7 linked regions of the Oryzias latipes genome follow. Each later gene encodes a partner of the first gene's protein in a complex. Links are inferred from orthologs where the notes say so. Each region holds a gene or a part of one and is shown in the gene's direction. Other genes may lie near its edges.

Evidence for each region.
Region 2: lsm2 (region 1) and lsm7 share a complex: the UniProt entries of both Homo sapiens proteins name them as parts of the precatalytic spliceosome. The link is inferred for Oryzias latipes from reciprocal best matches to the Homo sapiens genes LSM2 and LSM7.
Region 3: lsm2 (region 1) and txnl4a share a complex: the UniProt entries of both Homo sapiens proteins name them as parts of the precatalytic spliceosome. The link is inferred for Oryzias latipes from reciprocal best matches to the Homo sapiens genes LSM2 and TXNL4A.
Region 4: lsm2 (region 1) and prpf8 share a complex: the UniProt entries of both Homo sapiens proteins name them as parts of the U4/U6-U5 tri-snRNP complex. The link is inferred for Oryzias latipes from reciprocal best matches to the Homo sapiens genes LSM2 and PRPF8.
Region 5: lsm2 (region 1) and ppih share a complex: the UniProt entries of both Homo sapiens proteins name them as parts of the U4/U6-U5 tri-snRNP complex. The link is inferred for Oryzias latipes from reciprocal best matches to the Homo sapiens genes LSM2 and PPIH.
Region 6: lsm2 (region 1) and lsm5 share a complex: the UniProt entries of both Homo sapiens proteins name them as parts of the precatalytic spliceosome. The link is inferred for Oryzias latipes from reciprocal best matches to the Homo sapiens genes LSM2 and LSM5.
Region 7: lsm2 (region 1) and prpf6 share a complex: the UniProt entries of both Homo sapiens proteins name them as parts of the U4/U6-U5 tri-snRNP complex. The link is inferred for Oryzias latipes from reciprocal best matches to the Homo sapiens genes LSM2 and PRPF6.

What each region holds. Positions count from the first base shown.
Region 1 is NC_019862.2:27,136,247-27,140,938, forward strand, and holds the start of lsm2 (U6 snRNA-associated Sm-like protein LSm2), read left to right. Parts: upstream 1-1,747; 5' UTR 1,748-1,865; coding exon 1,866-1,868; intron 1,869-2,053; coding exon 2,054-2,121; intron 2,122-3,240; coding exon 3,241-3,271; intron 3,272-3,357; coding exon 3,358-3,417; intron 3,418-4,319; coding exon 4,320-4,445; 3' UTR 4,446-4,692. UniProt on the Homo sapiens protein: Plays a role in pre-mRNA splicing as component of the U4/U6-U5 tri-snRNP complex that is involved in spliceosome assembly, and as component of the precatalytic spliceosome (spliceosome B complex).
Region 2 is NC_019862.2:8,272,585-8,277,125, reverse strand, and holds lsm7 (U6 snRNA-associated Sm-like protein LSm7), read left to right. Parts: upstream 1-1,643; 5' UTR 1,644-1,750; coding exon 1,751-1,756; intron 1,757-1,989; coding exon 1,990-2,080; intron 2,081-2,175; coding exon 2,176-2,247; intron 2,248-3,879; coding exon 3,880-4,022; 3' UTR 4,023-4,291; downstream 4,292-4,541. Other genes in the region: kelch-like protein 24, read right to left, coding at 1-317, 444-1,353. UniProt on the Homo sapiens protein: Plays a role in pre-mRNA splicing as component of the U4/U6-U5 tri-snRNP complex that is involved in spliceosome assembly, and as component of the precatalytic spliceosome (spliceosome B complex).
Region 3 is NC_019869.2:14,391,365-14,395,951, forward strand, and holds txnl4a (thioredoxin-like protein 4A), read left to right. Parts: upstream 1-1,515; 5' UTR 1,516-1,662; intron 1,663-1,855; 5' UTR 1,856-1,861; coding exon 1,862-2,014; intron 2,015-3,295; coding exon 3,296-3,399; intron 3,400-3,480; coding exon 3,481-3,652; 3' UTR 3,653-3,843; downstream 3,844-4,587. UniProt on the Homo sapiens protein: Plays a role in pre-mRNA splicing as component of the U5 snRNP and U4/U6-U5 tri-snRNP complexes that are involved in spliceosome assembly, and as component of the precatalytic spliceosome (spliceosome B complex).
Region 4 is NC_019871.2:16,926,923-16,930,322, forward strand, and holds the end of prpf8 (pre-mRNA-processing-splicing factor 8), read left to right. Parts: coding exon 1-98; intron 99-179; coding exon 180-373; intron 374-503; coding exon 504-743; intron 744-872; coding exon 873-1,014; intron 1,015-1,100; coding exon 1,101-1,241; intron 1,242-1,325; coding exon 1,326-1,465; intron 1,466-1,651; coding exon 1,652-1,854; intron 1,855-2,043; coding exon 2,044-2,198; 3' UTR 2,199-2,634; downstream 2,635-3,400. Other genes in the region: RILP-like protein 1, read left to right, coding at 3,031-3,354. UniProt on the Homo sapiens protein: Plays a role in pre-mRNA splicing as core component of precatalytic, catalytic and postcatalytic spliceosomal complexes, both of the predominant U2-type spliceosome and the minor U12-type spliceosome.
Region 5 is NC_019865.2:7,776,233-7,780,809, forward strand, and holds the start of ppih (peptidyl-prolyl cis-trans isomerase H), read left to right. Parts: upstream 1-1,281; 5' UTR 1,282-1,390; coding exon 1,391-1,456; intron 1,457-4,478; exon of another isoform or gene 4,479-4,577. UniProt on the Homo sapiens protein: PPIase that catalyzes the cis-trans isomerization of proline imidic peptide bonds in oligopeptides and may therefore assist protein folding. Participates in pre-mRNA splicing.
Region 6 is NC_019878.2:23,647,022-23,650,554, reverse strand, and holds lsm5 (U6 snRNA-associated Sm-like protein LSm5), read left to right. Parts: upstream 1-1,595; 5' UTR 1,596-1,668; coding exon 1,669-1,714; intron 1,715-1,775; exon of another isoform or gene 1,776-1,790; coding exon of another isoform or gene 1,791-1,830; intron 1,831-2,279; coding exon 2,280-2,375; intron 2,376-2,455; coding exon 2,456-2,483; intron 2,484-2,551; coding exon 2,552-2,624; intron 2,625-2,700; coding exon 2,701-2,733; 3' UTR 2,734-2,916; downstream 2,917-3,533. Other genes in the region: psme2 (proteasome activator complex subunit 2), read right to left, coding at 3,075-3,155, 3,456-3,533. UniProt on the Homo sapiens protein: Plays a role in pre-mRNA splicing as component of the U4/U6-U5 tri-snRNP complex that is involved in spliceosome assembly, and as component of the precatalytic spliceosome (spliceosome B complex).
Region 7 is NC_019865.2:15,467,203-15,471,907, reverse strand, and holds the start of prpf6 (pre-mRNA-processing factor 6), read left to right. Parts: upstream 1-1,404; 5' UTR 1,405-1,454; coding exon 1,455-1,642; intron 1,643-2,073; coding exon 2,074-2,236; intron 2,237-2,320; coding exon 2,321-2,439; intron 2,440-2,550; coding exon 2,551-2,629; intron 2,630-4,182; coding exon 4,183-4,359; intron 4,360-4,705. UniProt on the Homo sapiens protein: Involved in pre-mRNA splicing as component of the U4/U6-U5 tri-snRNP complex, one of the building blocks of the spliceosome.

The sequences.
Region 1 (4,692 bases):
TATCAGAGCCAGAATGGTTATTCTGACCAAGAATGAGCAGTAGCTGTTTATTTCTCAACAGAAGTCAATGGGATTTTGGCTTCTTGGAGCCAATGGGTACTTCCTGTTTGGAACGCCGGTACCTAAAGCCTAAAAAATTTTATGTCACTGGGACGGGAAAACGTTTTAGTGTTGCTCTGGGGGCGTGGCCCAAAGTGAAACTTTTTAAAAATGAAAGGAGCTCACCTGTCCTGGTGTTTTTGTGCCTTTTTGGTCATTTTTCCTGCATGTTCAGCCGCCAAATTTGAGGTGGTTTACAGAAGAGAAAGTAAGAATAATAATAACTATATTTTTTTGTGATTCCGATGTGTTTCCTGTGTGTGCTCGGATGATATTAACAGTTTCGTTGTGACTTCAAGGGTCAAGTGACAACATTTATTCATTCTGTAAAGTCTTTTTAGAATAGGGTTAGTTTTACATGATAGTCTATAGAGAAACTCTGTTTTTGCTTTTAATGATCCACTTATCTACCTATCCATCCTCAGAACCCACTGAATCCTTTAACTGAGCAACTGTTGAGTAAAGTTAGTGGACCACTACGTCACTGTGCAGCCCTATATTTGATGAAAATGAATTAAGTTAACAGTTGCAGAAAGACTCACTCTATCAAGTATGTATCTTGTAATAAAAGAATTTCCAAAACATAGGAAAATTCATAAAAGGAGTAAATGGTCCAGAGTTATCTCACCTGTTTGTTTTTTATCCTGAACTAGAGTCCACTGAGACACCGTCCACTCCACAGTTTAAGCACATTTAGTGGAATTTACCCGTGTCAACAACAGAAGACCCAGGAGCAACGTCTTAACTTTCTCAAAAACAAAACAAAAGAACTTTTGAATTAATAATTATTTTAAAGATAAAACTGTGTACATTCAGTTGTGATTCGTTGCTATAGAGTTTTCTGTTTCAGATCAAGTTCGTAAACCATGATGAGTAAAGAAGCTGAAAAGATTTGTTAAAACATCTGAGTGCTCGACACTGCCCCCGTGTGGTCTTTCATCAGAATACAGAAAGAACTCTTGAAACAAAACGGTCACAATTGTGTTCATTTTCTGATTTTTATTGCATCAAACTGTAGATAAAATCAGAAAGACATTGGAGAAGAAACAGAATAAAACTCCAAATGGCACTGGAGACCAAAGGTTCTTTAAATTAGAAGACGTAAACAATAAATATATCCAGTTTTCATACAGAAAACTTTCAGCATTAAAGCATGAAAAGCATGCTTTCCTTTGACCAGTATAGAAAAACACAATTTCTTTACAAAGATTAATATCGTTATTAATATAGTTTAGGTTCTATGTTTTTATTACGACCCTACGTTTTTTTTTTGTTTTTTTTTGGTGGCCCTAAAACTCCGTCGTAATTTATAAAAGAACATTGAGGAACAAACTTAATCCTGATTAAAAACTCTTGCAGCAAATTATAGACATTTCAGGTTTGTGTTTGTGTGTGTTTTTAAATCACAGTAAAGGTCTGCATACTACAAAAAAATAAAGTTTTGAGGTACAAAAAGTATCACAAACATGTCTGGTAGCTAGACTAGAAGCTAGACTAAATCTGAATTAGACTTTTGATATTTTATTCAATTTTTTAAGAGATGGCTCATAATGTTTTTTATGTCTTTTTTTTTTAAAGAAATATGAGTGAAAGCCTAAATTTAAATCTCGGTCAATGAAAAACACCTGATAGTTCCTTAATAAACATTGAACGACAGTGTGTCTCCCTCTAGTGGCGCAAAGTGGTACTCACTCACCGCTGAAACACGGCGCAGGCTGATACGTCATCAACAGCAGCCAAACCTTCTGTAGAACACCACAGCCAAAATGGTAAGGCGTAAATCGTCATTTTAAAATGTACTTTTTTAGTTTAAGTCAAACATTTTAGGTTTCTGAGTGTCAGAATTCTTCTGAATTTCTTTTGTTTTGTCGCTGAGTTTGCTCGCAGTGTGCTGAGCCGCTTTGTCGGCCCATCATCGTGCTAACATCGTCTTTTTTTTAAAAAAAATCTACAGCTTTTCTACTCGTTTTTCAAGTCTTTGGTTGGGAAGGACGTGGTGGTGGAGCTGAAAAACGACCTCAGGTTGGTTTTGATAACTCAACATACCAATTTGTTTGGTAATGTTTCTTTTCAAAGCGCCGTTTGTGGTTAAAAATGGCGCGTGGTTCTGCTAGCGCTGTTTGAATGGGTGCAGTGAAGAGCTACTTAGCATTGACAGAGACATTGACTCTGTCAGAGTTGCTGTCTTTCCTTCTAGCTGGTGTTTTGCATCTCATGCTGGTCACAGTGGCGTGGGGTTGCCATCCCTTCCTTCCAGCATTTGTTGCAAATCTGGCTCAATAGGTTGGTGCCAGCAGCGTGAAAAATGTACTTTTTTTCCTGTTAGTTTTCTGAGCTAACTCTTGGTCTGCAAACGTGCTGCAAATTCATTTTAGACCTTTTTCCCGAAGAAGTAGGGTCAATTGCGGGGGTGGGGGTGGGGGGTCAATCAAACTAGCTGCATCTCATGATGAAAGCTCAAAAGTAAATATTAAAATTAGCTTACAGTTAGTTGTTGGGCATTCTTTAAAGACGTAACTCATAATTCTTAGCTCCTCTCACAGATGGACGATACTTAGACATGTGGTACTTTTTTTAAAAACCCATCCAAATGAAAAAAGTGGTTTTGATGCCATAAGCTCCCTGCTCTGCTCCATTCTGATGCATCCACTTGCAGGCAAATAGATTTGTCCGTCTTTGTTTTCCTGGTCTGAGCTGGCACAAATAACTGTACGGCTGGATTGCTCCAATATTACTTTTTTTTTCTTTTTTGTTGCACACCTAATGTTGGGTTAAGGGGGGGGGGTTGTAAGTTAGCAAAGGATGATGGGAAGATGGGGCAGGCTTGCTCTGCACCAACGATCTCAGACAAATTTCTAGTGAACAACTGCTGCTCTGCAGAAACTGTCCTAGAAAACGACGCAGGTTTTTTTTTTATTTTTGGCTAAAAACAGCACATTTAAAGACCACTAGGAGCGCTTTAAAAAGATAAGAGTGGGATATAAGAAAAAACAGACTTTCCTGCAGCATTGACAATAGAAATAAATTTACTGAACAAAAACTTTGACTTGTTCAATACAAATTTGCATATTCCCAGAAAGTCATTTAACATCAAAAGTTCACTGTTGCATTGAAAGCTTCATTTTCTCTTTTTCCCCCCAGTATCTGTGGGACGCTTCATTCTGTTGATCAGGTTAGAAAATAATTAATTCTTTACTTTTTTTAATTAATCAATGTATTGGTTTGCAATTTAAAAATGTTGTTCTTGTCATCATCTAGTACCTGAACATCAAGTTGACCGACATCAGTGTGACAGACCCAGAGAAGTATCCACACATGGCAAGTCCTCATCTATGGTTTACTTTTTAGTCTAAAGTTTGCATAGAGGCCTCTAAAACATACAGTTGTTTTTATTCTTTTATTTCCTTCTGTCAGTATAACAAACATTTTTAAAGTTGTCTGCTGGGTGAGAAATGTAGAAGCACACCTTTGGAAGTTCAGTTTCAGTGTAGGGCAGAGCAGACAGCAGTTCTTCAGGTAAACAGCAAAGATTTAGAAACATTTTTCAGAGTTTCTAAACTACAATTTTTCAGAAAAACATTTAAAAATATGCAGAAGTTCTACACTCACTGCCCACTTTATTAGGCGCACCTTGCTAGTACTGGGTTGGACCCCATTTTGCCTTCAGAACTGCCTTAATCCTTGGTGGCAGAGATTCAACAAAGTTCTGGAAACATTTCTCAGAGAGTTTGGTCCATATTGACATGACAGCATCACACGGTTGCTGCAGATTTGTCGGCTGCACATCCATGATGCCAATCTCCCGTTCCACCACATCCCAAAGGTGATCTATTGGGTTGAGATCTGGTGACTGTGGAGACCATCGAGTCCAGAGAACTCATTATTAATAGATGATTTCAGCTTTGCTGCGTTCAAAATCACTTAAATCACCTTTTTTCCTCATTCTGATGCTCGGGTTGAACAGCAGCAGATCATCTTGACCATGTCTAAATGCATTGATTTGCTGTCATGTGATTGGCTGGTTGGAAATTTGTGATAACGAGCAGATGGACAGGTGTGCCTAATAAAGTGGCAGGTGAGTGTAAATGTGGTTATTTGACCCGTGAGAGTGGTGGGAAAAAGAGAAGTGTTAGCTTCTGAATCCCCTTGGATGTGTTCATTCTCTTCCTCTGGAAGGCGCCCTGCCTGACTCCGTGTCTCACGTGTTTCACGCTCTCCAGCTGTCTGTGAAAAACTGTTTCATCCGCGGCTCGGTGGTCCGGTACGTTCAGCTGCCGGCAGACGAGGTGGACACTCAGCTGCTTCAGGACGCCGCTCGGAAGGAAGCCATGCAGCAGAAGCAGTGACCGGGGCTGCGGGTTCGGGGAGGGGGGCTTTAAGTCATGGGTTCTTTATAGTTCAGTTTGAAGAAGACCGCTGTGAACCGCCTCCACACACTGCGCCGGTCGATGGAGAATTGAGTGCATTCCTGATGTTGGCGATGGGCCAACTGCAGGTCTGTGGGTTTATGGACATTTTCTTTACTTCTGAGGCGGTTTAGGATCTTTGTCTTTTGTTTCATTCCTATAGAGTTTGGCCTAAAGTGAAGCCTGC
Region 2 (4,541 bases), about 19 Mb from region 1:
ACACGCTACATAGATGCACAACCCCACAGCTACAGTGGCTGCCCGCTCCACTGCCCTGACCATAGGGCTCAACCCCTGCCAGCCATCTTCTGATCCAAAAACCAACCCCTCAACATCACCCACGAGGCCTTCATCCATGCAGCCTCCCAGGACATACAGAGAGGAGTCCAGCCCCATGGAGCAGTGGCTGTGTCTGGATTTCTGCAGGGCCGGCCCATCCACCCAGCGCTGATTTGAACATTCGTATATCTTCACCCAGTCCACACTGAACCACAGCACATCTCTGAAGTGGCCTCCAGTCACAACCACGTTGTTTCCTAAATGGAAAATACACCTTAAATTTACATTTATTTTATACATTTATAATGTAATATAATTTATACATTTATTTCACATTTGAGATTTCAAGAAAAGCATTCTCTTTAATCTTAATTGGATATTACCTACTGCAGCTACTGAGTACTGAGTTAGATTCTTCTGCTGCAAAGGTGCACAGCACTGCCATCTACCGCTCAGAGGGTGGAACTGATACAGTGCCTGCTGTTCCTGATCATGAGGCCCTCCCAGGACATAGAGAGTCTCTGTAGCTTTGGTCCGCCTCAAAGACCTGCCTACTGACCAAGAGGCTGGGAAGTGATCATTCAGCTTGCTGATGAGCCTTGCTCGAGGGTCAGAACCTTTCATTCTGGTCAGAAGTTGGGTAATAAATGCTAAGGAGAGAGACTCTGGTCTCACCAGCTCTATTAGCTCTAAAAAATGTTCTTCTCGTTTAGGATCAAACGAAACCCAGCGCAGGGTGGCTTCAAGCGCCACATCGTCTTTGTGGAGAGCCAGATCATCACTGGCAAGTAGATCAGCAATACTTTCCTTGGAAAGGGACAGAAAATCCTCTTCAGCTGAGACCGCAGGGAAGTGTGTGAGCACAACCTGCCGGGCTGCAGAATAAAGCTGAGAGCAGCCCAGTTGCCATGCATAGGCCATCATTCCTAAACAATTCGTGAGGTGTAGCTCGCGCTCCAAGAACTTGCAACACAGCAGTCTGGCTTTTTCTAGTTGTAGATAGTTTGCAGTCTCAAGAATCCCAAGAACATTTTCATGGTCCAAAGTCAGACGGCGAGTCTTGCTGTACTCTATCAAAACTTTGAAAGACTGTCGACCCACACCTTTGATCTCAACAAGCTTTTTGCGGCTTTCCACACCACAGCCAAAGAACAGAGCTCTGAAGTATGGACTCTGAAGGGCCAGGTGCTCCCGACAGACGTAAAAGTTCTCCTCCTCTACCCGTAGGACAGCATCTGGAATAAAATCCGGCCCAGGGTCTTCCACATGAAAAGCATATCCATCTTCGTCCATTGTGTTATCTAACTCATGGAAAAGATTGATTGAAGCTCTGAAACTTCACTTCAGTCACTGTAAAGAGTAAAACAAGTCTACTGCTTTGTCCTGTTTCTGGATCACAACTACGGTAGGTTCCCAACACACCAGCTGGTGTGTACTTTGTTTATTAATAGACGCCCCTGCCCGGAGAATGCAGTTAAGAAAGAGGTCAACTTTGAAAAGTAAAAGTTTTTTTAAAAATTACTATTAAAATACAATTATTTAGTAAAACTAAAGCTAAGAACATTTTTTTATTTTATTTTTTGAGTGCAAATAACTTCAGATGACGTCAGATGCGAGTTTACGGCGATGTGATTGGTGCTATTAAATTGTATCTGGGGTCAAAGTTTAACTTCCGGGTCACACTTCAAACATGGCGGTGAGTGCGAAATAATTTCGTTTAATTTTCTCTCTTATTGTTCACCGAACATTTTCTATTTGGTGTTAGTCAGTAATAGAATACTTGAGGAAATGAGAATAACATTTCTGAAGTAACGGCCGTTTTATTTGTGAAATTGTTACTGCCTTAGTCAGTGATGCTAAGCTAATGCTAGGCTAAGGGTCTGCGCCTTAAACTGTGCATTAATCTTGGAAACTGACATTTCTTTACAGGATAAAGAAAAGAAAAAGAAGGAGAGCATCTTTGACTTGTCCAAATACATCGACAAGCCAATTCGTGTGAAGTTTCAAGGAGGACGGGAGGGTAGGTGGCTTGTCGAAAGATTGTAACTTGTGGTGACCAGAATATTCACAGTGATGTCAGAATATAATTATTTACTTTGTTTATTCCCTCTTTAGCCAGCGGAGTTCTAAAAGGGTTCGATCCTCTATTGAACCTGGTGTTGGACGGTACAATTGAGTACATGCGTGGTAAGTGAAAACTCACGTGTACCCACTTTTCTTAATGGAGAACTAATAATTAAGTAGTTAGGAGTTATTTAGTCCATGGTTTACTGATACTGTTATGTGGACTCAGGCTGTGAGGTTCAAACTTTCTAATTCTTTTTCATTTCCAAAAATACTGTAACTCTTCTTTCAGTTAGAATATCAGCTTCACTCTTCAAACTGTTTTTTTAAGTAAATCAATTGTATTGATCTCCATTTAAAAAATGTAATATTTACTCATCAAAGCCGCAAGATTTTCTTTTTTTTTTTTAAACGATTTTCTCGTGCCTTCTCAGACAGGAGAAGCCAATCTGTTCGCCTTTATAATATTTACAATTTTTTGTATTTAAAGTTCTATTTTTCTTCAATTTATGAAAGTGACTATTCCCACATAATTTTCTAAATACGTAGAGCCGGTGCAGAACTTCTTTCTTGGCCTCACAGACCTGGAGGAATGGTTAGGGTTGGGTAAAACCACTAATGACTCTGATAAATGCATCTTTGCTGAACTTAATACGTGAATTTCCATCTGTTCTTGTGCAGTTTTTACTCGTAAATAAGTGTGAAAAACATCAGCGTTAATTTAATTCATCAGTTCTACAAAAGTGTGTATTTCTTAAAAACTAAAGCTTTAATAAAAATTGAAAAAAGTTAAATTGGAAATTAAAATGAGACTGAACTTTTTCAATAAACATTGATTTATTGTGCTGTAGTCTAAGACAGGTATTTTAGGACTTAATGTTTTGTTTTTAATCAAACTTTGAACTGCGTTTTCTAATCACAATTCCCCATCTTGAAAAAATGTCCTGTTTGTCATCATGAATGCATCATGTCTGCATCATGTCTCTAAAGATTCATAAAGAAGGTTATTCATATTTTTCAGAAAAACCATCAACAAGATGGACTTTTGTTTTCCAAATACATAACATGACCTCATTATTTCTTACTATGATGAGCATTCATGATGAAGACACATTAAAGTCGAGAGAAAATTAACACTAGCCCACTCTCTAATGCCGGATTAACAATGATTAATAAAGTAAACACATTTTAAACGTATATATAATTTGGCTGCATTAAAATGTCACAAAGAGCAGTTGGAGCTACTTTGATCGCCATGGCGAAAAACTGTTTTTTGTAAGAATGTTTTTTCTTCTAATTCTCCTTTCTAAATATTGTAACTTTTCTTTCAGTAAGAATTTCACCTTCACTCTTCAAACTAAGTAAATTAATTGTATTGATCTCCAGTTAAAAACTATAATAATAATTCATCAAACTCGCGTTTAATAACGATTAAAAACTTGGCGTGTTTTTCCGTAAACCAAAGTTTTTATCTCCCATTTGCATAGGTTCTAATAGGTCATTATCATATTCTGAAGCATTTCCTTAACATTAAGAGTCCACTAGCTAGAAAAAAATGTTTTTGTGTTTGAACTAATAACTCTTTGCATTGTAATATTGTTTTCCTCTAGTATCGGATCAACTGTGGACTCTTGTTCTGTTAAGCATTTGTCACATTTACTGACGGCAATAAAAATCTCTTTAAATGTACAAAAACTGCAACATAAAGATGAACATCCTCTGGCATTTACAATCCCTTTGTGTGTCTGTGTGCAGATCCAGACGACCAGCTGAAGCTGACAGAAGACACCAGGCAGCTGGGGCTGGTGGTCTGCAGAGGAACCTCCGTCGTCCTGATCTGTCCTCAGGACGGCATGGAGGCCATACCCAACCCCTTCATACAGCAGCAAGACGGCTAAATCGCCCATGAAGTGTTAGACCTTTGTTTTGTTTCTATTTTTGTTGTTTTTGTTTTAACCAACCTAATGGAAGAAAGCTGGAGAATCAGCAGTAAAAATGACTTTTGAATGCACTTCCCTTTTGTTTGTGGTGTCCAGACGTTGGAACCTCTGTTCTAAAGAGCTCATGTGCTACGGAAGTGCAAACCTTTTCATTTTTATGCAGGAACAACGTGAGCTTTTTACTGTTTGTTTTTGATAAGAAAAATAAAAGGAAAACCTATGCTGGAGTTTGTTTTTATCTTTGGGTGCAGTCGCTCCTTGCAGTGATCTGAGCTGGATCACATCTTCCTTTTCACACCCTGAGTGAGCTTTTGTCAGTTTGAAGGGAGTTTTTGTGTTTGGAATGGGAAAGCTTAGGCACACAGGGAGAAATCTGCGGCATTAACGACTTTAAATTAGAAATGCTGTAAGCAGAGTGGGGATACTGTGCTTAACACCCATGTTTACATTGTTTTTCTAAATGATGGAGAATTTTTG
Region 3 (4,587 bases), on another chromosome or scaffold:
ACACATTGAAGCCAACTTTGTGCCCTGTTTGGATCCTAACACTGTTCCAGCTGAGCATCAGCGTTCCTCAGGGATTATTAAAGACTTTTTTTGTATTCCCTCACAGAGAAGCAGTGAACTTTGGAGATATTTCTGCGTGGACTGTGACTTTCAAAGAAACAAAGGTGGAGTTGTTTGTCTTCATGACAAACGTGAATGTTCCTCAAGCCGCCTTTTGGCCTCAAAAGGATGCAACCTTGAGTCTGATCCAAAATGTTATGAAGACCTGGGTGTTTTGCAGAGGAGTTGTAAATCTTAAAATGGTGAAAGGGGGTTTGAGCGCTATGTGACTGCTGAGAGACTTGACCAGACGGCTGATTTTGTGCAATATGAAAAACAGCCAAAACAAATTTAAAACAGTCTTTATCAGCTTTAAAGAGTGAATGCAGTGTTTGACGATAGTCCGGAAGCTGACTATCACTGTTGTTTGTAAAACAATCATGTGTCCTACATAAGATCGTGTAACATAGTTGGATTTTATGAATCATGTGTCCATTTAAAACCACAGAGATGTGACTGTGTAGCTTAAAGGGGAAATTAAAATGATGTATCTAATGATAATTGAACTCTCTTTAGGAGTGCCATAATGTGCTGCTATGTTAAAGACTGGAAAGTTTTCCTATAACCTTTGAACTGTGTTCGTTCTTTCTGTTTGTACTGTAATGAATTGCACAATAAATTTTTTATCTGTGTTTTTTCCTGCTTAAAACCGTTTCCTGTATCTCTGCCTACTTTCAAACGGAAGTAACACTCGTTTCAAGGAGCAACAAGAGAATAAAACATTGAAAATACAAAGGTAAATCATTATTGGGGGTTTTGATTTTACAAGTTATTTTTTTGCGTCAAAATCGTTTTTACTTACTGAATCTTAATGAACTATACTGTGCAGCTACTTGTCTTTTGAAAATTGTGCAAGCAGTAGTCCATAAACATTTGTTTTTCACTTGTGGTGCATGTACACATGCATCCCTAACAGGAAGCTATTATTTCTACCCATAAAAGGTTAGAGGAACAAGGGCATCCAAAAATTGATCATATGGGATGATTTTTCTTTTGGGGTTTTAATTACATTAAACGTGAAAATGCTTTGTCTATCAATTCTTCCTTGAAAATGTGGCAACGTAGAATAAATCTTATTCATCCTACAAAGAGGGGAAAAATGATCTACATAAAGAAATATATAAGGGGTGATGTTGTGTTAAGAAGTATACATTTTTCTACTTTCCTTTATCTTTCCGAATGTAGTGTTTCATTTTCTTGTTAAATTTGACATTTTAACCTAAATCTTTCTTTTAATAACTGGTTTCGCATAGCCTGCTTTCGATTTAAAGCCTTCCATGTAGTTTTTATTAAATTGTTCACTTTTGTCAACATCAGTTAAAGTAATACTAGATTTGTCATAAAATAGGACAAAAAGGAACAAAAAATAATACGTTTTCTCTGAATAGGTTTGTGGGATGTTGACGTAGACATTTTGCGACGACGTCGCGAGTTTGTGACGTTGTTAGGAACGAGCTCTAGATGCTGAAGATAGATTTTTTTTTCTTTATTGAGAGAACAAAGTAATTTTATCTAAGCAGAAATCTAATTTTATTTCATTATACTTAGTTTTGCTAATTCAAGGTAAGGTTCTTTCGTTCATGTTTGTGGTTCCGCATCTTCTAAAGTTTCGCTGTCATGATTTCTAGATTTTTCTTCAGCTAGCTTAGCATTAGCATTCATCAACCTCCTCTTCTCCGCGGTTATTTAACACTTTAAGATAACATTATCATTCAGAATTTTGGGTCGGGGGCGGTCTCGGATTCTCCATCTTTAGGTCAAGATGTCGTACATGCTACCGCATCTCCATAACGGCTGGCAGGTGGACCAGGCCATTCTGTCTGAGGAAGACCGAGTTCTGGTGATCCGCTTCGGACACGACTGGGACCCAACGTGTATGAAGATGGATGAAGTTCTTTATAGTATCGCTGAAAAGGTTTGATCAGCTTCTTATGTGCACCATAATTTCTATGGAAAAATAAAAGGGCTCGTCTGGTTACAGTATTAAAAGGGAAAATTATTTGCACCTTCCTTTGGTCCCCAAATCCCCCTGCTTTTGACTGTTAACAAGTTTGATAATAAATGCATAACATGAGAAAATATTCAATGGGTAAGGAAAGCTTAGCAGTTAGAGAAAACAGTTTGAATGTCTGCAGTCATCCTTTAAAGATTTCATTTAAGGATTTAACCCTCTTCTCTGGTTAGTTGCTGAAAGAAGGATCATACCTGAAGATTTAACTGAATCACAGGTTACAGTAAGACGACGGCAGTTTGTGACAAACCCCACTGCACCAACATACATAGGGTTTACAGAGAAATGGCGTTTTGGAGAAACATTCATACGAAAAACATCACCACAACAGCCAAAAAGCTCCAGATAAAACAGGAATTTCCTGATTCTTAATTGACGAATCGATTTCTTTTCCTATGAACCTACCAGATCCATCTGTCTGAGGCAAGTAGCTCATCAAATCAGCCTCTACCATTTTAAAATACTTTCAAAAGGAGATAAATCGATAATAGAATTGAAATTGGAAAATACAATTAGGATTGAGACATGGTAGGTTTATTTTACTGTAATGTAATAACGACCAATTGCATCACGGTGGACAACACACATGTGAGGTCAGCAAAAACTGATCAACCATCATAACAGTCCAATGTGTGGAAACAATATGAATTTAGCAAAGACGTGACCAGACAGTGTGGTAGAATGTTGTAATATTGTTCCCTTAGGATTCTTTGGATGTGGAAAAACAACAGTGGACTGAACTTTAGGAAACTAAAATGTGAATGGATTTGACTTTCATTCTGGTTTACTTGTTTGTTTGTACACATATTAATTTAAACTTGATTATCTTGAAGAAATATAAGGAATCTGGAAAACGTCACCTGTACTGTTCAGTATCCAGGTATTCATCTCTGAGTCACACTGGTTGAAGTTTTGGATAAAGATGTTCTGGATCGATCTTAGGCCAGAGAATCAGATCGTTCAAAATAAACAAATATCGATTATGAATCTGATCAGCAGCCACAAATTATGATATGAATTGAATCGTTAAAATGAAGTTTTAGTTTTTAATGTTCCTCTAAATCTTATTGACTGTTTTGGAGATTAATTTCTGTTCCTTAACCTTCATTAAAGTCACAGCTTTGGTTTCAGCAATCAAAGTCCAGATCCTTGTTGTTCTAGTAACCGCCACCTTTGTCTTCTCAGGTGAAGAACTTTGCAGTCATTTACCTGGTAGACATCACAGAAGTGCCCGACTTTAACAAGATGTACGAGTTGTACGATCCTTGCACCGTCATGTTCTTCTTCAGGTGAGGAACCCTCATCACTGGAACACAGGTCCTCATATCATATATGATGTCCAACGCTCCTGCCTTTGGTTTGTTTTCCAGGAACAAACACATCATGATTGACTTGGGAACTGGAAACAACAACAAGATCAACTGGCCCATGGAGGACAAACAGGAGATGATTGACATTGTAGAAACGGTGTATCGAGGAGCCAGAAAAGGACGGGGTCTGGTTGTTTCTCCCAAGGATTATTCTACTAAATACAGATACTGATTCTCACTTTTTTTAAACCATTTTTTACCCTTTTTGTGTATTTTTGTTTTGTTGATGACAAACAGAAGAAACTCTGCTTTTCCAGCAAAGGAGGACGATATTCCAGCTACTGGTCTCATTGTTTTCTCATCAGTTTTATTCAGTTTTGAAGCTTGTTTGAATTTTTGTGAATAAAAGTGTCAACAATCTTACGTTTGATTATTAAAATAAACTTGACTTTCATGTAAATATATTTAGGAAATTTTCTCAAATGTTTGAGTTTGTTTTGAAACTTTACAGCATTAAATCATTTTGCTATGGCAGTTAAAGACGTCACAGGAAGTGCAGTGACTCACAGCGGCTGTTGATACTTACTAGAGATTATGTCTAAATCAAATCAACTTCCAGTTTTGTTTTTTTGGGTGCACTTGCCAGAGTTGTCCGGTAGGTGGCATCATAGCAGTTCCACGTATGCACCAGTCTCCAGCATCACATGCAAATGCTCCTTCCTGCCGTGGCCTGGGGCAGTATTGGGACACGGCCCATCAAACAGACTTATGTGACACTTTTGTGTTGCTATAGAGATCATCTGTGGAACAAAGAACAGGAAATGACCTTAAAAGAACTTTATTTCATGATAGGACTTTTCCCCAAAAAACGGGGATCTTTGTGCTGTCAAACTAATTACAAATAGTCTGAATTAGAAACGAATGAATTAGATATCAGTTGTTGGAAGGCTTAATTTCGAGGAACTTTGTTTAACTATTTTCTGTGAAAACTGAGATGTTCTCATTTAGGATGATTGATTTCAACACAAAAATACAGTGACTGAAGTTTTATGTTTAAAGCAAAAAGTCACTAAAAGTTAAGCTGATTAACAAAGGGGTTGATAAACAGAGATACAAAACAATAATGCATGATCATGTGCCTTCTAAAGGATAAATAGCAGTGGCCTT
Region 4 (3,400 bases), on another chromosome or scaffold:
TGGAGAAGTTTGGAGACCTGATCTTGAAGGCTACAGAGCCTCAGATGGTGCTGTTCAACCTCTACGACGATTGGCTGAAGACAATCTCCTCTTACACGGTGAGGTTCTATCTATAAAGGCTTAAATCTGATCCACCATCAAAGCGTGCTGACACCTGTCTGTTCCTGCTCTGTCTGTAGGCCTTCTCCCGACTTATCCTGATCCTCAGAGCACTCCATGTCAACAACGACCGCGCTAAAGTCATTCTGAAGCCCGACAAAACGACCATCACTGAGCCCCATCACATCTGGCCCACACTCACTGATGAAGAGTGGATCAAGGTGGAAGTGCAACTCAAAGATCTCATCTTGGCTGATTATGGCAAAAAGAACAAGTGAGTGTTAAGTGACTGCTGCTCAGCCACTGGTTTGAGTATTTTCAGAAATGATTTTTTTTTTAAACTCATGAGCAGATTAAAGATGGATTTATGTTCTGTAGTAAGATCTGCTTTTGACTCTGTTCAGTGTGAACGTGGCTTCTCTGACCCAGTCTGAGATCCGTGACATCATCTTGGGTATGGAGATCTCTGCTCCATCACAACAGCGCCAGCAAATCGCTGAGATCGAGAAGCAGACCAAAGAGCAGTCACAGCTCACAGCCACGCAGACTCGCACTGTCAACAAGCATGGAGATGAAATAATCACCTCCACCACCTCAAACTATGAGACCCAGACCTTCTCCTCCAAAACTGAGTGGAGAGTCCGGTATGCACCATTAAACCTGCTGATTTGATCCAGTTTTATTCCCATTTAAAGGCTTACCTCATTATAAAATATATTAGAAATACAAACAATGTTGTCATTTGATCTCTATACTTTTTTGTTTTCCATCAGGGCTATATCTGCTGCAAACCTCCATCTCCGAACCAACCACATCTATGTGTCGTCTGACGACATCAAGGAGACTGGTTACACCTACATTCTGCCCAAAAATGTTCTCAAGAAGTTCATCTGCATCTCAGATCTCCGAGCGCAGGTCTTTATTTGCTGACACAACTTGGCTTGTGTTATATCAAAGCACTTACTCTTACTAATGCTGACCATGTCCTGTGTTGGTTTAAGATTGCTGGCTACTTGTATGGCACCAGCCCACCAGACAACCCCCAAGTGAAGGAGATCCGATGCATCGTCATGGTACCTCAGTGGGGAACCCATCAGACTGTCCACCTTCCCAACCAGCTGCCCGGTCATGAATACCTAAAGGTATGACTTGTTCACTGGATTATTGGGGGGGTTCTTTTTGATGTTTGAATCAGCTGGGTTGGTAACATGCTCTTGAATGAACAGGAAATGGAGCCCCTCGGGTGGATCCACACACAGCCTAACGAGTCGCCTCAGTTGTCCCCTCAAGATGTGACGACCCATGCCAAGATCATGGCCGACAACCCGTCTTGGGATGGAGAAAAGACCATCATCATTACTTGCAGGTGAGTTACCTTTCTGTTCTTTTTTTTTCCTGTTTACACTGGAGGAAAATCTGTCATTTTTCCATAAATCTGGAAAATAATGCTATATGTATTGCGGGGGGGAAGGTGATTTCCTTCAAATGAAAATGCCTCCCATCTCATTTTAATCAGAAAAGTGATGGTTTTCTGTGCCTTACTTGTTTTCAGCTTCACACCGGGGTCCTGCACGCTTACAGCATACAAGTTAACACCCAGTGGATATGAGTGGGGTCGCCAGAACACAGACAAAGGCAACAACCCCAAAGGTTATCTGCCGTCTCACTATGAACGAGTGCAGATGCTGCTCTCTGACCGATTCCTGGGCTTCTTCATGGTGCCTGGCCAAGTGTCCTGGAACTACAACTTCATGGGTCTGTAGCTTCAATATTTATTCATGTTTGAATTAAATGTTTAACGTTTATGAATTAATTTGACCATGACATTGCCTCAGCTTTCTTCCATTGATTTTACATCAGATTTCTACATACATTTATTCTTTTGGTTATTATGGCTAAACTCCGCCTGTTGATGAAACTTAAAGGCCTCATATTGTATTACAGGTGTGCGCCACGATCCGAACATGAAGTACGACCTGCAGCTGGCTAACCCCAAAGAGTTCTACCACGAAGTCCATCGACCGTCACACTTTTTAAACTTTGCCTCGCTGCAGGAGGGGGAGATCTACAATGCTGACCGGGAGGACATGTACGGTTGAGCGTCGCCGCCCCGTCCCAGATTCGTTTTTTTTATGGTTTCTGACCGAATCATGTAAATCAGTTCAGTCTGCCGGTTTTCTGTCAATATATTTCACTGATGTTCGGGTAGGTTTTATGTAAAGCTGTTAGGACCTTTTTTAGGATTCCTTTCATTCGAGTTTTTTTTCCATGACTGCTTTGTCCTTATAAAAAAAAAAAAGTTTGGTTATCTTTTTTTTTTTTTGTCCTAGTTTCTAGAATTTCATCTTGAATGCATTTATTTTTAGAACTCTGTAATGTGTTTGACATCAATTCAGAGAAACACTCTTCCCCTTCTGCTTTTTGGAACTAAAAGTGAAAGTGGCATTTCCATGTTCTGGTGTTCTATTATACTACACGTCTGTGACATTGTGAGCCTGGTTTAAAATAAAGATTCATTTTTATAAACTCTTTAAACATTGTGATATTGTGTTTTATTGTTGTAAGTGCAATTGTGTTGTGAACAGTTGGCTTTAGTTTTGGTGTTTTACCAAGATCATTAGTGACGTTCTGCCTGCAGAAATGGCTTAAGCTGTAGTGACGGTGTCTCGTCTCGTCTCGGCGCGCTGCATCACTGAGCTTTCAGGCCGCGTTGGTCTGGAGCGGAGGAGGATCTAGCTTCGCTATTTTCTCTCAGTGGAGTGCAACATGACCGGCTTCATGTTTGCATGGGAGAAGGTGGAAGTTCAGATATGTCATGCGCGGTAGGTCGGGCACCGACAACCTCCGTAGTTTTCATTTTCTGTGGCAGCAAATAAGCCACCGTCGCTTTCAGTAACACTCGACGAAGGAAGCGAGCCGCGCGGCTCAGACATGGAGTCCTACCCGGAGAGCAGAGACACGAGCCAGAGCTACTTTAACAAGACTGTCGCCTTGCTGACAGTCAACGATGTTTATGAAATCGCCAAACTCATCGGGGCCGAGGTGGAGAGGCTTATCGATGGATACGGTAAAGAGAGCGTCGAGGGTTTGGTGCCAAAAATAGTGAAAGTGCTGGAGCTGCTGGAGAGCTTCGCTTCCAGGAACCACGCTCACATTCAGCGGGAAGAAGAGCTGCTGAAGACCCTCGAGAGCATTCAGATCCAGCAGCAGAAGAAAAAGAAAGACGGCGACGAGGGCCTTGATAAAGAAATACATGTAAGTTGCTTGAATTTAGGTAATATTGTAAACATTGCAATTAACA
Region 5 (4,577 bases), on another chromosome or scaffold:
GATCCTCCACACCACTTTCCAGTTGTTACCTGGAACAAATTGATTACAATAATTTAAAATATACTATGTCACTTATTTATCAGTGTTTTTAAACAGCATTAATGTTCCTGATGGTAGGGCATTCTGCACCATTAACCCTTGTGCTATCTTAGATGACCCCACCCTTGCATTGACGTGTTCTCCCTACCATGACAAAGATGGATAAAGGTGGAAAGATTTCATGTAATCCATGGACACCAGTGAGGTTCACAAATCATTGAAGAAAAAAGGTTCAGCGCACTGTCTAGTGGGTCTAGATGACCCAACTCCCAATGTTAAAGTGCCTAGGATAGCACAAGGTTTATGGACTCTTGTAGACTGACAGGAAAATTATATAGCGATAAGGACACATTGTAGTTTAGCAGCTGCCCCTCCTTATTGAATAGCCGAGCCACCAGCAGGGTCCTATTCTGTGTCCAGGTCTCCAGGTGGAGTGATCTTTTTTTAAATGAAAAAAATCTGTTAATCCAGATGAAATATTTGTGTGGTGAAAAAGGATACTTGAAAATTAGGTTCCACACTAAGAGGACCTGCTAATGGAAAGATGAGAGTTTTACTGGGAGTTTCACAACATTATTGTTACAATTCAAAATAAAATTAAAGCCTCCAAAACTAGAGAAAAAAATCTGTAAATGGTATAATGTTCCAGATAGCAGTGGGGTTCTTAAGAAAAATTTTGGCCCTATTAATTTTAACATTATACTGCAGATAACATCTACTGAGCAGTCCTTAATTGCAAATAATTCACATTACTTTTAGTTTAAGTTTAAAGGGTGGGGTTATGAATGCTTTTGTTCTTCCCACTCATTTTCAAGCAATAAATCAAGAAGCTCTATTTGACATTAATGAATACTATATTTATTTAAGCAAATGTGACAAAAGCGAGTCTTTGTTTTAATCTATGTCTTTCATCATTTCTGTAATTAGTTTGTCAATCTGTGTGATTTAAAAAAAAAGTATTGACTACAGTTAATGCTTGAAATAAAAATAAATCAAATAAAATCAAATTACTTCCTCAAGCGTGAGAAGGCTCCCACAATAACTAATTTCCTCTTCATCAATAGTTCTGAGGTTTTGGATATTATTAAGTAACAAAGAAGAACTGTCCTCATAGTGTCCATTGTTTTTACAGTCCATGGTAAAAAGCGCATAGCACTGATTTTCATTCTTTCTTTCCTTCTTTTTGTATTCATTCAATAAAGTTTGAAGGAAAAAAGCGCAAGTATTTCGCTGACTCCGGCGAGCCACCGTAGACTCTTACTGCGCATGTGCGTGGTTTTCAAATGAGTGGCGTGTGAATTCAACATTGCTATTATTTAAAGTTAATAAGTTGTATGTATAAAATATCACTATGTCTGTTCAACCTACAAACCCAAACAATCCAATCGTTTTCTTCGACATCACCATCGGCGGTCAGGTAAGTGAGCTTAAAAGAAAAGTTGAATAAATGGCTAAAATTTGTTAGCTAAGGCTTAAGGGTAACTTGAAAATCGACTCAAATATATAGTTATTCTTTACAGAGAAAGAATAATATCATGTAAACTGCGCGTGATACGGTTTGCGTCTGTTTATTAGATGCATCCTTATAAATAAAAGTAGTTTTTGTGTGGTGAATCATCATGTGTCTCTGTCTGAATTTCACCGTCGTATTAACAAATTAAAGTCCGGTTTAGACACTCTTTTAACAAACGACGTTTTATTTTTTTTATATTTTTAAAAGCTTAAAGTAATGTTTATACAGCATTCCATTAGATCCAACAAAGACTACACAACATGTTTGGTTTTACTTTTGCTTATTTTCTAGCTTGTTTAATTCTCTACTTAACTTAGTCTGTGAGAGTCTTTCCGTCTGTACTTTGATATCGCAAAGCTTTTTTTCCCCTAGATCCATTGTGTTTTTTTTGTTTTTGTTTTTTTAACTTAATTCAGGTGAATCAAGTAATCAGGGAGTACAACACACATTTCCAAAGTTTAATATAATACTAACGATGCCCTTTCTTGCTTGCTATCTATCAATCTGTCTTTTAAATATGGCAAATGGCGTATACTTATATAGCGCTTAGCTACCTTCTTCAAGGCCCAAAGCACTTTACAGTCGCAGACCCAGTCACACACACATTCACACACCGATGGCGGCTCCGCTGCCGAACACTGGCGCCAACCTCCCACCAGAGGCCAGGTGGGGTTCAATGTCTTGCCCAAGGACACTTTGACTCATGGGTGTGCAAGGCGGGAATCAAACCTGCAATATTACAATCATGGGTCGACCGCCCTAACGCTGCACCATGCCCGCCGTAGATAGGTACCTTGTATTTAATTTACTGCTCTGGAGTGGGGTTGTATATCTTTCCGTCTCAAATGAATTGATGCGCATCTCGATACATGGTCTATGAATTGATACATAAAATATTCAACTAACTTTCCGGTACAGTCCAATTTCTTTTAATCTAAAAGGATGACAAATGACTAAATGGAAAACAATCTAGATATTTATTATTCATTTGGCATATAACATAAGGGCTGCACGATGGCACAGTGGTTAGCGCTCTCGCGGCGAGAAGACCTAGCTGGGAACTCTCTGTGTGGAGTTTGCATGTTCTCCCCGTGCATCCCTTCCTCCCACAGTCCAAAAACACGCTTCATAGATACATTGATGACCTTCAGCTTACTGTAATTAACCTGACTTGGTAGAAATAAGCTTGTGACTGGACGTTCCGATAGAGTAAAGCACAAAAAGAAGAGAAATTGACAGAGATAAACCGATTATTCCTGATCAATTTTATACCTCTATTTTAACATGATCTTGTTTGTATCTGTGATTCTCAACTGATATGGCTGTTACACTCATAACTTGATTAATTTCTTTTATACATTTCTGTATCCTTTACGTCCACAAACATGTTCTTTTTTTTAAGACATTTAAAAACTCTGAAAAACTTACGTGCTTCCTTTTTATAAGGCACGTTGATCTTACAGACTTCCAAGAACTCTCAGGTCCCAAAGGTATTTTCTTTTAACTGTCCCAAATGAAAGCAGCATAGCAAACAATGAGGCCTCATTTGCAGTTGTTGTTGATTTTATCGGCAAAAACAGCCTCCCCCAAGACATTCTGCCTCCGCAGAAATCATTATGGACAGGTTGGACTGACCTTTTTTACTTGTGTTTTTGTGCCTTGCTTCATCAATTTGGTGTCTCCTGCCTTATGTTTTTATTTTCCCCTTCAACGCGTCCTTGCTCCAGAGAATGATGATAGTTTCAGTAGATGTGTTTTTGTGGCTGCTTCTTTAATATGTGTCTAAATTGAGCTGTGACGGTGTGGGATTTTTGATCACCGCGGTGATGAACCAGCAGGGGGCGCTGCGTTCTTTTTTTTTTCATCCTCTGTTATTTAATAGGTTCCGATGAGAACCATTTCCCCGAGAGGCCACAAAACTAGCAAATATGTTGTAATTAACTAGCAGTTAATCTGCTTCTCCAATAGATTTTTGTCAACAAACAACTTATTTTCTCATCTGGATCTGGATGTTTTTAGACAAAAGCTGCATGTTTATACTGGAATGTCTTGCCACATTTGAGACTTTGTTGTTTGCTAATTCCTCATTACATATTAATAATTCATTCATCATGAGGAACTTCAATTTTCTCAAAATTCTCCATTGTTGTCCCAGAACATTGTTGGGAGTCGTGGCGGTGACGCAGGTGTGTAATCCAAACTTTAATCAGAAACCTAATACTCAGCCCGTTAGTTTTTTTTGTTTTTTTTTTTTATATTATTTTTATGAACCTTGCTGACTGCTTGCTGACCGTAGTCGTTAGCACAGGGTAACCGCTACAGGGACGAGCAGCTCGCCTGGTTCCGACCCGTTCCTGGTTCAGACCTGGTGACAAAAATACAACAGCTGGTCGACAGACGACCCGGAGAGGTTCTGCATGATGAGGCTTTTATTCACTTCTCATTCAACCTCATTCAACATGAAGAACTTTCCATCCTATAAGAGACTCTGGTCTGTCGCAGACACGCCCCCTCCGCGTCTTCACGCTGCTGTCTTTCTTCTGCCCGCTCGCACATCCCGACGGTGTGAAAGGTGTGACACGGCAATCTTAGACATGATCGTTATTTTAAAAAACCACAGAGAGCCGCAGGCTGCTGACCCCTGATTTAGCTGATGCTTGACTGTAATCCAAATGGCATAAAGCTAAACACTGAGCCAGAGTAAATGCTAAACATATTTATCAGAGGTTACCGGTGGAAATTCCATTCTTTTTTATCAAACCGTAACATACTTTATCCCGTCACCCTTAAAAGGATACAGTGGGTCAAGAAAATAGATGGATGGAAAAACCCACTTTGATTCTCGTTAGCTATAAAGCACATACCTGACATGGCATGAACTGCCTTTTTAATATTAAATACATAAAAATCGAAAAAGAAACTCACATGACTTTTGAATATATTTTATTGTCTACAGGATAAAAGCAATTATTTGTTTAAAAACCAAAGTATAAAAAAAGTGAAAAGTTGTAAACAGGTAACAATG
Region 6 (3,533 bases), on another chromosome or scaffold:
TTGTATAATCTTCCAATTCAAACTGAAGTGAAATATATAGGTGCTTTAACAACAAAAGACCAACATGCAAGAAGCTCTCTTAACCTTAACCCAATAATAGAAAAAAAACACACACAAAGGAAAGTGAATCAGTGGCTCTCCAAAGATTGATCTTTAAGAGGAAGGATTTTGAGATAAGATAAGATAAGATAAAGCTTTATTGTCATTGTACAATCACACTTGGTACAACAGTACAACGAAATTGCAAACTGTCCCACATTGGTGCAAAGAGAAAGAAGAAAACAACAATTATCTTTTACACACAAAAAAGTATAAAAAATAAATAGATACATATATAAATATATACTGCAACTTCCAGCTTTTTCTGCCACAATTGACACAAAAATGGATGTGAGATTGTGGAAGGCTGGGCATGCTTTTACATTTCAACATGTTGACGAGCCTTTTCTGCTCTCTCCCATAAATACTCCTGTGGAGAAAATATGTCTGTCCGTTATCCCAGAAGAAACATTATTTCAAATTAACATTGCATCTCTACCTCAGAGCATGTCTTATTGGAATATGTTTGCTGATGATATTGCATGGAAGGAGGTTTGGCAAACCCCTAATAAACGCTTGATCACCAATTAAGTAAAATAAGCTACTTTTAGGATTATCCACAGAATTTACCCAGATACAATTTTCATTCAAAAAAGATTAGATGAAACATTGATACATCTGTAGTTTTTGCTGCAATTCCCCTGAAACAGACATCCATCTTTTCTGGAATTGTCCTCAAGTTAAAGTGCTTTGGTAGAAGATTTGTGATTTCATACATGACAAAATTGATTCTTGTTTTGTTTTATTCTGGAAACATGTTTTGTTGGATCTTATATCAAAGGATACACAAAAGGACTCTGGTTGGCTTTTAAATCTCTTGCTCATGTTGGCCAAACAAAAAAAAAACAGTTACAACTTTTTTTAAATTGGTGGGTTTTTATATTATGTTCAGACCCCATTTTCTTTGTCTTTCACTTTTTTTTTAACTTTATTGACAATTGAGGTATCATACATTAAATAACGAACAATAACCATGTAATCAACATTACCTTGAAGATCAATCACCATTGCCAAACATAACATATTAACAAAAAAATAAAGAATAGAGAAAAACAAAAAAACAATGAACATAACACACAAATAAATAAAAACGAATAAGTAAAATAAAAATAAAATAAAAGAACATAGATCCAATCTAAATAGTCTAATACTAGTTAGGGGTACTCGTGAAGTTTGTATTTCTGAACAAAACAAAGCAATTTCAAGTCATTCTTCTTTTTCATATAATGAAGTGATTTGAAGTAAAAAACAGAGCTCTTTATGAAATGTTATAAAAAGTGTTTTGGTCTTCAAATATTTATTTTTGTGTATATAAAACTTTCCTTGCAACATCTGGATATTAAGAACACCAAATAGAAATTTTTCTGCGTGTAAATGAACTGGCATTGCAATTTTGGAAGAATACCAAAAGCAGAATTCCTCCCAGAATGTTTTTATAACTCCTTTGTCTTACACCTAAACAAACGTTGCTGTTCAAATAAATACTCCACGTTCGATTGCTTTTGCCTGCTGGACTGCGCTCATTTGTCGATTGGTCGGGCCTGTGCGGAAGCGTGTTCGTCAGTAAACATGGCAGCCACCCAGGGCACGAACCCGTCCCAGCTGCTCCCACTCGGTCCGTAAGCTTTAAATTAAGCCCGTTTTCTATCCGGGGTCTGACGGGGATTCACGCAAAACTCCGGGAAGTGTTCATGCGGGGGTCAGAGCCGGGGCCGCTGCGTGGTTTGAACGGTCTGACAATGGCGGGCAGGAGTTAGCAGCTAATTGTTCGTTAGCATCGAAACGCTCATGCTGTTAAAACTACGTTAAAGAATGACACTTTTTAAGTCTTTGGGTGTTTGTCTGATTGTAATATATTTAATTCATCGATTAATATGGTCCTGCCGTAAAGGGTTCGTAGTTGACGCGCTTTTTGAATTGCATAGCAATGCTGCAGCTAGCCGCTCCTTGCGACCGTGTTGCTAATTAGCCCAAAAGGAAACGTTTTCACCTCGTCATTCATTATCATTAATATTATTAGGATGTACTACTCTTAAGAGATGGTTTTCCTTATGTTGGATGCCTTGCGTAAACTTTATTTTAAACAAAAAGTTAAGTTACAGACACCTGTTAAAATATAAAATCAGTGTGGTTTGTAGACTGCATGCATGAAACTGAAATAACTGTTCTTCTTTCTTCAGAGCTTGTGGACAAATGCATCGGCTCTCGAATTCACATCGTCATGAAAACAGACAAAGAAATCGTCGGAACCTTGTTAGGTTTTGATGATTTTGTCAGTATCCTTCATCGATATTTTGGTATCAGTGTTGTGCTGTTTCCCTGTTTGGCCCACAGCCGCTCCTTAACTCTGTGTCAGACATGGTGCTGGAGGATGTGACAGAATTGTAAGTATCTTGTTTTCTTTTTTTTTGTGTACTTGGGGCTTGCTGTTGATGTGTTTTTGTTTTTCCAGTGAAATCACACCGGAAGGCAGGAGGATAACAAAGCTGGATCAGATCCTCCTGAATGGAAACAACATCACCATGGTGAGAAAGCAGTCGGTGGGAAGGATGGGGGGGGTGTCGCTGACCGGATCTCTCATCAGAATGGTTCTCTTTGCAGCTCATCCCAGGTGGAGAAGGCCCAGACGTGTAGATGTCAAGTTTTCTAAATGTACATACATCTTTGGTTGTTCTGGATTGATGTTAGTTTGCGGATTTCTCTTACTGGACATTTTGTTTTTAATATTTTTTAGTTTTGATTCTTTAAGGTTTGAATGAATCACGTCAAGGACAGAAAAGCTCTTTTTGTTATAAATAAACCAGATGATTAAACACAGTTTGATTTACAAGTTTATTATTCATAGGTTCACTTTAGTGCAATTTTCTTTCCTGTTTTTAAAAAGTGTTGGCATCCAACAGCAGTAATAACAGCTCACGGTTCATGAAGTCTAAATCTAAAGTTGCGCTCCTCCAAAACGGCGTACCGCTGCCGCCTCAGTACATGGAGGATTTCTCCTCTCCTTTTGGGTTGGTCACCTTTTCCAGGTTTTTGTTGATGATGTCGTACAGCTCGGCCTGAGGAAGTGAGAAGCTTGTTTGAATGAAAAGGTAATACACTTTAGCTATAAAACACCCCTAAAAACACATTTTCTTATATAAAACTAGGAATTTAACCTTTTTTTTGGTTAAAACCTTAAATACTTTCATTAAAATCCTACATCTGAGTGGAGGAAGATTTAAAAAGAACTTGTTTTAATCCAAGTAACTTCTTTTTTTTGTAAACCAAACAATTTATGCTACAAGAATCTCCAACTAAAAGTGAGCAAAAGTGTCTGGAATCCAAAGCATTTAGCGGCTGGAGCTTTGTCGTCTTACGTAGAAGCCGCGGATGTCGAGGAGGATCACCCTGAGGTCAGAGAAGAGCGCTCTGTCCTTCTCATGAACCAGTGAGCG
Region 7 (4,705 bases), on another chromosome or scaffold:
AACTAAAAAAGAAATAAAATGTCTGTTGAAAAAATAAAAGTGTAATGTAGCATTCTGTTGATTTTTAACACAAATATTTAATACAAGAGGGACTTTCTATTAGAATAGCAAGATGGCAGCATCTCTTGCTAAAAGGCCTTAATTTATAATAGATTTTTCTTTGAATTTGTTGAAATAGTCAAGCTAATGTGTATCAACGCACCTCTATTACTCTGCAAATGCTCATTCTTGGTCTGAGGGCTGAAAGCAACAGTCAAAGGCAGCTGAAGCAGGATTTATGAATCCCAAATGGCAAGGCGTGCAGTTTGATTTGTAAGGCACAAACAAATGCTGAAACAAATTGACAACATCATCACGAAATCAGTTTTTGGAAAAGTCAAGGCAAACCACAAGTAAAACAGTAATAATTCTTCAGATAAAACAGATTCTCCACATCCATGCGTGGATTTTCTCTATCTTTCTCCCTCAGTCCAAAACATGCTTCATAGGTTAATCGATTACTTAATTTGCCCCTAGATGTGCGAGTGAGTGTGGCCCTGCAACAGAGTGGCCTTCGCCCAGAAGTGGCTGGGTTGGCACCAAAATGGATTCTGTGGGTTCAGAAAATTGATGGATGGATGGATGGATGAATGGATGGATGGAATAAACAATTCATGCAACATCCAAGTTGTTAATCTCAATTAAGATTTAATAAGCTTTCAGATTTTATACAATATTCATGTGACATTAGAGTTTCCAATCCCAATTAAGATTTATTAGGATTTCATATTTAATAAACCACAAATTGTGTTTTTTCTTGGACTCAGTTTGATCTTCTCTTGTCTGGTTCATTCTTTTGTAGCTTCTCAGATTTGCAAAGTTTTATCTTGGTATTTGTTGATGTAAAAACAAACCAATATTCCACATTAACTACATTTGATAATTAAATCAACACCCCATTTTACTGTTTGTTTGTTTTTTACGATTCTCAATTGATATCATTATTCTAAAATTTAAACTTCTAGTCCATATACTTTGAAATTTCACTTTGCAAGCTGTGATGTTTGACTGACTTTCTCGAACTCTAAAGACGAACCATTTCCATTTAACAAAATATTTCATTTTAGTGTTTTTACAGAACACTTGTGCAGCACTCCATCCTAAATTGAAAACTTCCGCCCCCTTGTGGCAATCATAAACAAAACTTACAATTTAGAAAAACATAATCAATAATTCGATAAAACATTCAAAGGTCAATGATCACAGAACTGTAAAATAAACGTATTATACAGACACCAGAAAATAATTTAAAAAATGTAAAAGTTATTTTTTGAATGTATTAGTAACGAGCCTGACCTATAGAGGGCGCTGTTACAAAAAAGGAGCGGATATTTCTAGAACGGCAGTGTTTTGATGGGAACGGAAGTCTTTCTGTTGTTCATCCGCCAGTAATCCACCTCGTCGTGTGAGCAACGATGGCTACCTCTGGGGCTAAACAAGGCACCAAAATTGTGTCCAAAACATCAGCGGGAGGCGCCGGGGCTACGGCAGCCAGCGGCGGGGCTCCCATAATACCCCTGGCCTCCCCGCTCATGGGGAAAAAGAAGAAGCCGTTCCTGGGCATGCCCGCTCCGCTGGGATATGTGCCTGGTCTCGGCAGAGGGTAAGCTAACCGATGCTAGTAGTAGCAAATTGTAGCTTTGCGTGCAACCAGGCAGCCGGTTGTTTTGGTTAAGTGTTGTTGTTTCTATAACCCTGTCATTGTTGTAACAATAAAATATTATGTGATGTAAAGCTACTGTGGCACTATTTTTCAAATTTTCATCGGAAAGAATACATTTTTGGGTGCCAGCATAAGAATCTTGTTACTCAGGAGGCAGATTTTTACTTTTGCACCGCACTACTAGCTAGGCTAGCCACACAGATTTGGTTTTTGACGTGAATTATACAGGCCAGTGTCATAAATAATAAAAAAAAAAATCAGCATTACTAAAGGTATTTTGCAATGTATTTGTACCTTTATTTATTTTTCAATTAGCTCATTCCTTCTACAGTGTCCAATTCTGTAACGTTTGAATGGAAATTCCCTTCTAGTGCCACTGGATTCACCACCCGGTCTGACATTGGTCCTGCTCGAGATGCCAATGACCCAGTGGATGACAGACATGCTCCCCCAGGGAAAAGAACCGTGGGAGACCAAATGAAAAAGAATCAGGAGGAGGATGAGGAAGATCTGAATGACACCAACTACGATGAGGTTCATCTATGGATTGTTTGACAGCGACTTTGCGACTGTGCTGTTTCTCTAAACACCATTGCTGTCGTTTTGTTTGTTTTGTAGTTTAATGGTTATGCGGGTAGCTTGTTCTCTAGCGGGCCTTATGAAAAAGATGACGAGGAGGCAGATGCTATATACGCAGCCCTGGACAAGAGGATGGACGAAAGACGCAAAGAAAGAAGGTTTCTCTCAAAATTCCTCCAGCTTTCCATGTGCCATTTGTGCATTTTTATTCTACACTGTTAAAAGTTAAGACTGTGTTCTGGGGTTGAATGTTGTCTTTGCTTTTGCAGAGAGCTAAGAGAAAAGGAAGAAATTGAAAAGTATCGTATGGAGAGGCCTAAAATCCAGCAACAGTTTTCCGATCTGAAGGTACAACACTTGCACATCAAATCATTGTTGTTTTTAAAAAAAACTTTTGATCAAATGAAAGTTCTCAGTTGACATTGACAATAAGCTTTTTTAATTTATCATTAAATTCATTAGCTTTGTCTAAAGACATATAATACTTTTAAATTATGCTTAAGCCATAAAAATTAGCTCAGTTACTTCAACAAGTTAAACAGAGCCAGTGGTGGAATTTATTGTGAAAGACACTTATTTAAATCAGATAATAAGGATTTCTATTTTGCCAACATCTATTTACTGGGGTTTTTGCCTTCTAAGGTTTGTGTTGTGTGAGCTAAAGTAAAACAAATGTTACATCAGTGTTGAAACTGTTCTGTTCGATTTTAAACTGTTGCCAAGAATGCAAAGACATGGGTTTAGTGTAATAGTTGATATTTTGATATTTCTTTCCTGATGCTGTAACTTGGCTAGAGTAGAGAGAGAGAGGGATCTTTCCAAAAGTTGAGATATGTATGCCAATACCGGGAACCCAAATGTAGTATTGGTTTCTAAATATTGCCTTTTTTTAAATGAAAATGAAGAAATTATGTTTAGCAAAAATGCATAAATTTGGATCTCAAAAACATTTTTCCGTGTTTAAATCTTTTCACATACATATCTGTCCCTTAAACCACTAAACAAAAAAAAACAAGCATTAAAGGAACAATATGTTATCAAAACAACATATCAGTTCACTCAGTATGACTTTGTAAATGCGAGGCTTGCTAAAGATAACCTGAATCAAACATGCTGCACTCAAGTAGCCCACTGACACCGACTAAATGATTCATGGGTCACTTGAGGGCCGCACAGATGGAATCCACTACTTACATTATTTCCAGATTATTTACTATCTGGTTCTACACATTTTACTTTAGAATACTACTGGATTCTCTCCACTTGATTGATATCCGTAACTCAGTCTTGATTGATGTCAAACAGTCTTTGACTTCAAAGAAAAAGAAACTTGCATTGAATAAACAAAACCAGGAGTTCTACTCAAAATACGGATTTCTTATGGCAGGTTGTTCCCATGCACTAAGACAATTTGCTAAATAATCAGCGATCAGCTCAAACGTTATGAACTGCACTTAACTAACTGAGCTTTCCATCTGCTATATGTGGATGCTGCTGATAAGAGTTGCATACACACTGGATTCCTGTGCATTATTACATTTTGAAGATACACGTTTTAGTGCTGGTTGTGTCATAGTATTCTGTTGCATTTATCCATCACACCTTAAAAGACGGTCTTGTTCAATTCAATCAATGGCTAAAAAGAATCAAACTCAATCCTAAACAATAATCTACAGTAGTTTTTTGTCATTTATTTTTTCTTTATATTGGCTGGAAGTGATGGTGCTTTTGACAATGATTTCATTTTTGTGAATGTTGTAAACTGAAGCTATGTCTCCCAGTGTGCTGTAGTAGGTGTGCTATGTTAGTCATTTGTGTTCTGATATTGTAATAATTAGACTTTATTTTAATAATTCATACATATTTTCCAATTCTCTTTTTGTTTTCCTCTGCCTTTTTAGAGAAAGTTGGCCGAAGTGTCAGAGGAGGAGTGGTTGAGCATCCCTGAAGTTGGAGATGCAAGAAACAAGCGTCAAAGGAACCCTCGCCATGAAAAACTCACACCTGTCCCTGATAGCTTCTTCTCCAAGCACCTGCAGAGCGGAGAGAACCACTCCTCTGTCGACCCTTTGCAAGGAGTCAGTAAATACGCGCACACGCACAAGATCCAACTAGAAGCACTGAAAACCATGCATCATGCTGCAGTCCCAGTTTAGTCCAGCAGGGGTCAGGAAACTTCACCTAAAACAGTCTTAGCAACTGCCAAATGTTTATGATACTGCTACTTTGTAGCTTCTGTACAGCAGCCGTGAGCTGATGGGTATTTGGACAGTAACAAGATGGAATTAGTTTATTGGTTTTAGTGCTTTATAACTGCAGTCCTGAATTCAGGCTGTGGAACTGTGGCCCTCCTTTGGCTTGTTCTTCTCTTATTATTCATTCTTATTCTTTCGTGCGTTTTTTTGTCCGTTCATATCTTCTGCA